2 linked regions of the Yarrowia lipolytica genome follow. The protein of the gene in region 2 interacts with the protein of the main gene of each other region in a biochemical or structural test. Links are inferred from orthologs where the notes say so. Each region holds a gene or a part of one and is shown on either strand. Other genes may lie near its edges.

What was found.
Region 1: the proteins of YALI1_A08175g (region 2) and YALI1_D06665g form a complex in vitro, tested with the Saccharomyces cerevisiae proteins (2 studies listed by BioGRID). The link is inferred for Yarrowia lipolytica from reciprocal best matches to the Saccharomyces cerevisiae genes POL3 and POL31.

Annotation. Positions count from the first base shown.
Region 1 is NC_090773.1:664,652-668,133, forward strand, and holds YALI1_D06665g (uncharacterized protein), read right to left. Parts: upstream 1,913-3,482; coding exon 503-1,912; downstream 1-502. Other genes in the region: YALI1_D06638g (uncharacterized protein), read left to right, coding at 1-117. UniProt on the Saccharomyces cerevisiae protein: DNA polymerase delta (DNA polymerase III) participates in chromosomal DNA replication.
Region 2 is NC_090770.1:813,862-819,552, forward strand, and holds YALI1_A08175g (uncharacterized protein), read right to left. Parts: upstream 3,728-5,691; coding exon 509-3,727; downstream 1-508. Other genes in the region: YALI1_A08126g (uncharacterized protein), read left to right, coding at 1-438.

The DNA of each region.
Region 1 (3,482 bases), on a different chromosome or scaffold from region 2:
ACCGTCAAGCAGAAGGACCTGTGTCGAGAAGTCGACTGCTCCATTGTCGTACGAGACTTTACCAAGGCCCTCCCTGCCCCTAACGGGTTGCTGGCTCTTCCCGCCCCTGAAAAGTAGCCTACTGTATATAGTCAAAGAGTGTAGAACATATATCATCATGGTCGCTGTGTTGAGTCATACTCGATGTTTCGGAAGAACTGGAACTATTACTTGTGTGATAACGGGGGAAATGTGCCCTAGAGCTCGTAGAAGATGGCTTCATACGCTACACTGTCCAACCACCTCTCACTTGTGCTACGATCATAAAGCCATGCAAGTGCAATATATTAGTTCCTAACTACTTGTAGTCCCCACTACAAGAGGTAGTTTGTCAAGAGTCCCAGCGACAATTGCTGAGAACATGGCATGTATCTGTTGAGAGCGAGAGTTAGAAGCGCTCATCGAAACCCCCTACTTCGTAGTGCTGCTGCCTACCCTCGCTACGTTGAGCTCCGCTCTCCAGCTAGGCGACAATCCTCAGCACCTCTGCCTTCAATGTTCGCATGTTCACCAGTACCACCTCTCCCGTCTCATCAAACCGCGGAACTGCCACCAGACGCACTGACACTCCGTCATGCTTGACAACACTGGTCTGGAACTCGTCCTGGTTGCCGCAGAAGTACAGGTGGGGAGTTTCCTTGATGATGAAGGGATCGTCATCTCCATAAGGATAGCAAGTCAGGGTATCTGGGGCAGTGGGACACAAGTGCCGCCAGGCAAGCGTATGCTCCATGATATCCAGAATATCGTCTCGTCCTTCGATCAGATATTTGTAGATGTCCGACACGTTTTGTCCCGAGGTTCCCAGCACCTTGAGAGGCGCCTCGTCGGTTGAAAAGTCCCACCAGTAGGGGTTGGAAACAGACCCAAAGGTGGCCTTTTTGAACTTGCGGCTCTGAGGGAACATGGACAGATGCAGCGGCTGCTGAGGAAGCGACATGTTGCCGGGATCGTCGTTTCCTGCCATGATATCAACAGAGATGGATGGCAGCAATTGTGCAATGTACTCGTCAACGCGAGCCATGGGCTTGAAGGCGTCGAGGTCCACGGTTCGAGATAGTGTGTCGATAACGGGTCTTTCTGACTCCAACGAGCAGTTGTTTCCGGCCATAATGAACCGCGAAATGTTTTTGGGCTTTACCAGTCCATCTTTTGCACCATCTTCCTCAAGCAGCCCCTGGAGATATTCTGCCAGAAGCACGTGTTTGTAATCCGTCTTCTTCTGGCCAATGTACAGACCAGAAGCAAGACAAATGTATGTGTCTTCAGGAGTATCATTGTCAGCCATCTCAACGTCTTCTCCGTCATTGACTCCACTCAGAGGTCGATAAATCTGTTCGGGAAAGCCGCCCCAGACCACATCCACGACCGTGAAGCGTCCGTTTTCGCCTGCCGTGCCTAGTACTCCACAAACAACGCCTGTGATGAGCATGAACTCCTGCACCTTTGGTCCCACGAGCGTGATTCGACCGGAGCTGTCCTCCAGCTGAATCGACGAATCGTCCTTGTGTCCACCGTCCTCACAATCGCCCTGAGGGTCCACGTACTTGGGCTTCTTGCCCGGAGGAGCTCCCCAATGGCTGCGGGTCACCTCCTCCAACATGCTGGGTTTGTATTTCATGTCCTTGAACAGTGTGCCGACCACAAACACCGTATCCCCAACAAGAACGTCCAAACACTTGTTGAGGTACTTGACGTTCTTATCAGCCCATTTGGAAGTAGCAGCATCCAGCACCTGGCTCATGAGCTGGTGCAATCGCATGTAGTAGATTGGCGCATACTGACGGTTGTAGTTGCGTTTTGTGATGGGCAACGTGAAGCCATCATTGAGCGAGGTGGCAGTAGTGGGCAGATTTGAACGTATCTCCGGCATGCTGAAAGTGTCGAGTTCTGGTATAGAAAGCTGGAGCAGTATTTCTCGATGGATCAAAATCAAAAGCGTGTAAATTGAACTTTAAAAAGAACCCAAAACCCGTGTACGCGAAAAGAGGGTAAGTAGAAGGAGATGCTGGAGCATGGTAGAGGACGATAGCTAGAGGACGATGAACGTCTATACGCAGTTCTTGAGTTGTACTTTGTATGTAGATATAGTTTCAGAGCGATTGAAGTACTGGATACCACGTTATGGCTGGGATGTTGAGGGAACTCCTATCAACTATGAAAGACGCGTTTAGTTGATATCTTTGTTAAAGCAATTATTTTCAGAGTAGAGCTTTCCGGCGATACTCCAACTCGTAGGAACTCTCGGGGAGCGGCCCCAAAAGATGTAGAAGAATAGGATATAACTGAACCATTACTGTAGCCTGCTATTTCAACATTCTCTTGCGCTGATACGGTCTAGCGGTCTCGCAGTGCTGAGGAAGACCTCACGAACACAGGCAAAGTTGAACGTTGGTATATTTATGAGAAGAAAGAGGAACCATGAGCTGTAATGCTGTCAAAAAGTATCAGAAGCTGTCAATTGTTGGGAATCTGGGCCCCTCTCTTCCCCATGGGACGCGCCATGAATCAACATAGAGGAAGTCGGCAGGTTCTTGTGTTATAGGAGTCACACTGGACGGGCAAAAGGAGACAAGGAAGTACAAACACTTCAAATAGGTACTTCTTTGACGCCATTATTATTGATGAAGTACAAACAAACGAGACTAATAGTCTCGGTAACCCCTAAAAAACACTTCATCATACATCCAACAGTTCGCACAGTAATCAACCACATCACGTGAAACGAGAAATATACATACAAAAGAGGACCAAAAAGATGGCGACATCCGCAGGATTCGAACCTACGCGGGGAAACCCCAAGAGATTTCTAATCTCTCGCCTTAACCGCTCGGCCAGGATGCCATGTGTGGACGGGGTTGGGTTGGTGAGCTAGCTCGAGAGACGTGATTAGTAAGCCCGCCAGTAGCTGAAGATCAGAACTATTGGAGATGATCAGAGAGTCGCAAAAACAGCTTATCAAAATACTTGTTGTTGATTTCGTGAAATGCCAGATTCGGTAAGACTCAGGAGGAGGGAACACATGGCATTCTACGTGACCCCTAAAGAATAAACGGATGTATATATAGAATATCATACCTGTACAAGCACAAGGAGAAGTACTATATAGCTCTCCAATGAACTACCTGTATCTACTAATGCCAACTCTCCTAGCTGGATATTCCTTCTTCCAGACTTGTTGCCGAAAGTTCAAGCCTTCCAGTAGCTCCTTAAAGATGCAATAGATCTCCTAAGACGATTCAAACTACATCAAAATAGCCGTCTTAGACCAGAGATTCCAATGAAAAAGGAATTTAGTCGGAAAACACGCGTCCTTGTCAATTCTAACGCACTGCCATTTTCTTTTTACTGTACCTAACCTCCGCCATAATAAGCTCGCGGCTTTGCTTTGAACCTAGAAATGCACCGCCACAAATTTTCAGCCACCTCTGTGCAGGCACCAA
Region 2 (5,691 bases):
CTTAGTACTGGAAATTGTGTCAAGGGTACGTTTGTTGTTGATTGTGAAACAGGAGAAGAAAGCCGTTTAATGCATCTACAAACTGTCTCTGCTAGTGGCCCGGTCTTTTACAGATTCCTGCCTCGTCTACCTGGATATCGCCGGAAAGGTGCTTCAGATCACCAGTCGCCGTCTCAGGGACTTGGATCGCAGCGACGGGATCTGGTTGGTCCTAACCCTCTGTGTCGGTTTAATGAAAGACATGCCGAGACCCTGTACCGAGCTTTGATGACTTTCGATGATCCATACCTGGAAGGGCAAATGATTGCAACGTCAAAAGCGATACTGGGATTGGGGCAAGAATTGGACATCTGGCTAGCAAGTCGCAATCCCCCTTACATTCCACGTACAACAAGTAGACCTCTTTGGCATCGTGCAATGACACCTTTTCATAGTTGAATACATTACAAAAGTGCAATTGTACAGTAAAGTGTACACATGCCATAAATATATTGTCTATCAATCCAAACTACCAATCTTGAACGTCAAACTTGCTCAGTTCGGCCACACTGCTCTGGATATCCTTCTGCACTCGTCGTCGCATGAAGAAAATGGGACAGTCTCTGGAAGTACAGAGAATGTCCTGGTGAAGCGAACCCTGACATCGCTGACACTCGGTCCACAGCTTTCCAAACTTGACCTCCAACTCACTCAATTGACCCAATGCCTGCTGGTACAAAGCTCCGGCCTTGTCAACACAGTTCTCACAGACAGCACCCTTGGCCCATTTGCCTCGAAGAGGCGTTCGACAACCCTTGCACATTTCCGTCTTGACGGCAAACTTCATCAGTCCACCGGTTGAAGGAGCAGCAACAGTGATGGTACGTGTATGCGCACCAGTCATGAGCTGAGCAGACTTACGCTCGCCGAGAATGGGGTCGAAAATACGCTGGAGAGGCTTCTGCAGCTGGTTCTCAAGGTAGTACTTTGTGTCGATGGGAATGTTGTTTTCCAGCACGTACGATGGGTCTTCAGACTTCTCGTAGTTCTTGCCTCCAACAGCACCCTTGATGATAACGTAGGCAACTCGGTCACCCAGCGCAGGGGCAGAGCCTGCGTCTCGCTTTCGCATACGCTCAGCCAGCTCCACATGGGCCTGCTTAGCAGCGTAGTCCTGCCGAGAGAGCTGTTTAGTGATGACCAACTGCGACAAATCCACCTTGTTCTGCAACAGATTGGCAACCATGGTCTTGACGTAAGCCTGGGCACCCTCCACGTCTCGATCCATGAGAATCTTTCGCAAAACAGTCTCAATCACGTTCTGCACCAGACGACAGTTGTCTCGACGAACTGTCTCGATACCTTTGGTGTCCATCTTGTCAAACTTCTCGGGGTTGGTCCAGTACAGACCAGCATATCGCTTCTTGTTAATCAAAAGATAGGGGAAATAGACCTTTTCGAATTCCAGCTTGATGGGCTTGAGGAACATCTCGGACACGTATTCGGCGGCTTCCAGACCCATATCCATAGCAGTCTTGAGATCTGGCACTCCAAACTTGACCATAACAGAATCAGTATCACCATAAATGACCTTGGCGTTCTCGGGGTAACCGTTGGCCTTGGTGTACTTGTTCTCCACCTGCTCCTTGGTGAACTGGATCATATCTCGACCGTACGCAGTGACGGAAGAAGAGATGGCAAGACAGGGAAGCTTACCAACCGTGGCACCGGTAAATCCGTAGACAGAATTGGCTGAGATCTTCAGAGCCAGCTGACGACCGTCCAGCACGGCCTTCTTGAAGGGGTCGGTCTCCTTCTTCAAGTCGGCCTTGGCCTTCTTACGGGCACTCAGAAGCTCTTCTAGAACAATGGGAAGAATACCCTTTCGGGTCTTCTGGTTGACAAACAGGTCTCCGTTGGGGGTTCGGTGGTAGTCTTCGTCAAGCTTGAGGTCCAGACGCTCAACGGTAGCCTTATCCAGTAGAGTGGTGTAACAGAGGTTATGGGCCATCATAATGGAAGGGTATAGAGACGAGAAGTCGAGAGTGGCAATGGGGATATCGTAGTATCCTCGCTCAGGCTCAATAACCGTGGCTCCCTCATACTGTTCTTCGGAAGAGCCGTCCTGTTTCAAGTTGGGAATGACCATTCCGACTTCCAGGGCCTTTCGGAACAGCTGCGAAATAACCTTGATCTGCTGACCTCGAGAAAGAAGGAAGGAGAACGGGACTCCAGTGACACGAGCCATCTCCGTGTAGTTAATAAGACACATGAGCTTGTCCATGAGTCGCTGAGGCAGATAGGCATCCTTCAAACAGTAGACCGCCAGACGTCGACGGGTGTCTGCGTTTCCATTTTGCAAATCTGTAATGATAGAGTGGTGCACATCTTCCTTCTGCTCCTTTAGAAAGTGAGCAGACACAGCGTTCAGAGTGTACGTTCGCAGCTTGTACTCTCGCTGAATAAACTGCAGAAGATCCAGCTGCGTTCGTCCATCAATGTTGAGCACCTTGGACTCTCGTGTTCCGTACGCCTTGGAAGAGAAGGTGGAGTCTCGAAGGACATTTTGAATATGCGTCAACCGGCCAAAGTAGGGGAAGTCTGTGAGTTTCAAAGTCTTTGCGCGGTCGATGAGATAGGGAAAATCGAAGTTGGTTGTGTTGTAACCGATAATCACGTCTGGATCCACCTCGTTGACAAACTGCTTCCATCGCATCAGCATATCTCCTTCGCTCTCGTGCTCCAGCACCTGGGCTCCTGCAATTGGGGAACACGTGTTGAGAGTGAAAACGTTTCGTACAAACGGACGAGTGTCTCCCTGTCGAGACACGACGTTTGCAATCTGGATAATGGGGTCGATTTTGGGGTCTGGGAATACACCCTTTCTGCCGGCACACTCGATATCAAACGAGAGCACTCGCAGGGGGGCAATGTCACTCCATTCGCCGTCGGCAGGATGCGCGATGAGATCTTTGTAGGAGATGTTGATTTCTCGCTGACATCGAGACACGAGCGACTGGGTTTCAATGGTGTATTTGCCCTTGGGCAGCGTGACCCAACTCATACCACTAATGTGACAGTCGATCATACATCTCAACACGTAGGGAATGTTGTCGAAGGAGGTGCATCCGTTGGCAAACAGCATTCCGACTTGGGCGTGTGACGAGGGGAAGTTGAGGTTTCCGTTCTCAAAAGCAGATCGTAGCTTAGGGATTAGTTTTGGGTTGGTGGCGAAGATCTTAAAGAACTTGGCCTTGGCTCCTCCGTTGTATCCCCAGAAAGATTCTCTTTCACAGACCTCCAGGCGTTCCAGGGCGTCGGGAACGGTGTTTGCAATGGCAGATTTGAGAGTGCTGAGGTTTTCGGCCTTGAACCCAACGGGGACAGGAGCGTAAAAGTAGTGGCAAAAGCCGCGGATGTTGCACAGAATTGTATGTCCCTCCTTTGTGACTCCAAACAGACGCACCACGGCGTGTCCGTTCACCGACGCCTCTTCCGCGTCGATCTGCTGGAAGGAAATGTCGGTTGTCTGAGGATCGAATTCCTTCCATTCAGGCCGGGGCCACACCTGGTCGTCCGACACGACAGCTCCCTTTTCGGCGTCTGAGGCCTGGGTCAGCAGAATCAGCTCCTCTTCAAAGTCGGTGGGATTGGGCTCTTTCGTGACCGATTTGATTTTCTTGGTCTCCATGGCGGCCACGTCGTCGCCCGTTCGCTTGACGTTCATGTCCACTTCCATTGACGGCATTGTGATTGTGTGTGTATGCTGCGGTGTGGTGGTGAAGAAGGGAAGCGCGTGTCTGATAATTAGATTTACGCGTGCCCTGTGGGTGGCGGGGACAGGTCTCCGTACAACGACGAGTTTTGATGGCAGGAAAATTCCAAAAGCAGGAAAATGACGAGAAAACTGTCTTGTGGGAGCGGGAATTTTCCGATCCGAAATACAACCAATATTCGCGGTCCAGACCGCTGTCTCTGTAAATTGTAATAAGAGACCGTATTAGGCAATCTGTATAGAGACGCGTGGGGGAGGGTGGGAACAAGACAATCGGTCCAGTTTTGGCGCCATTGAGAAAAGGAAAGCTGGAATATGAAGAATGACGTGAATATAGAAGTTTGCACTTTTCAGATTTACAATACTACCAATATTGCGGACTCTAGAGACGACTCTCGGTGCAGGAGCTCGTGGGGAGGTGCAGCACGCTGTGTACCGCTGATTCAGGACACCATGCTCATAACCTGTCGTCTGGGGCGTCCCAAGAGCAAGGAATAGACACAAAAAGGATATCCAACTAATCCCCATAATTTGCTTTGTTGTTGTTTTTGTTTCCTGCGCTTTTCCTGTTTTTTTGTCATTCTACACCACTTCATCGCAAGACTGGTTAGCGTTCGAGGCGCGTTCGTTGCTCAGCAATTGTCTACATAAAAAGGAAGGCGTTGATTGGCTGAAAAAAAGTGAATTTTCGAAATATAGACGCCTAGACGACCGTTATACGGGATTTCACCAAGGAAAAACACATTCGAAACATGATTTACGGCTCACCGCACCATTACCAGCGGTCCACCCCAAGATGGAAGCACGCGTTTACAGTTGAAATTTTTTTTACGCGCTGCATATTAATTAAAAAAATTCTGTACCTGTAAGCGGGTGGGAGTGGAGTGCCCAGGTGTGAGCAATAGATGAGAAATAGAGCTGGGTTTGAGTTGGATTTGCAGTGTTTAAAAACGTCTCTTTTTCGAGCGGGTACATAGTATGTAGTATATATTACAGCGATTGCAGCGTGGTTGGAGAGAAGATGGCAAAGAAACACGACTCAAAGGGCAACTGGATGGTACGCGAATGGTACGTACCGGATGCAGTTTGTACAGCAGCTACGGTACTCGTGCTTGTGCTTGGACTGGACTTTGGACCGACTCGATGTAGCTGCCGTAACGCGTATCACTGTTGTGCTGGTGCTTGCAGGCGGATCCGACGACGTACATCTTCCAAACGCACACATCTCCGCCGGAATTTTCAACAAGTTTGATACTATCGTGGAGCTCTCGTTCGGGCAGACATTCTGGGAGCAGCAAAACTCCATTTGGTTCAAATTTGACGGAATTATAGCCATTCTCGCCCCACCAACGCATCTCCAGAAATCACACTCCACCACCAATCGAAAACCCAATTGAGTCACGTGAGCATACCTATTGCGCGGTACGTCCAAGTGGTTTCTCCGTTTCTGATCTCGATTGTTTTCAGTCTAAGCAGTTGCAACGGACGGTGTCGGACAGTGTCGGAGGTCTTCTCGGTGCGATAACGATAAGGAGGTCGGCTTGGCGTACGGTTGTTTGCTTGGCGCACGTGACGTGTGAAAATTGTTGATTGTTGTCTCCATCTTTGTGAGTCTTGTAGATCTACAGCAGAGTCGCAGGAAGAAAGTGCGGTACGGTACAGCTACAAGCAGGCACAACCACGGGTATATTGTACATACACTACATTCGGGCACAAGTGCGTTCAGTATACTCGACATGTCGTGCACGGCGGTGTTTCACTATTGTATCAGTGAAATCGTGAAACATCTAAAACGACGAATATTGACGCTGAAGACACAGAAAAAGGCTCAAAATGACCGCACAAACGAGACTGACCGATCAACAACATTTTCAACCACACTTGTCTTCCGAAACTGGCCGTCAAACAGCCCGTTTACGGCCCGTATTTCACTCTCC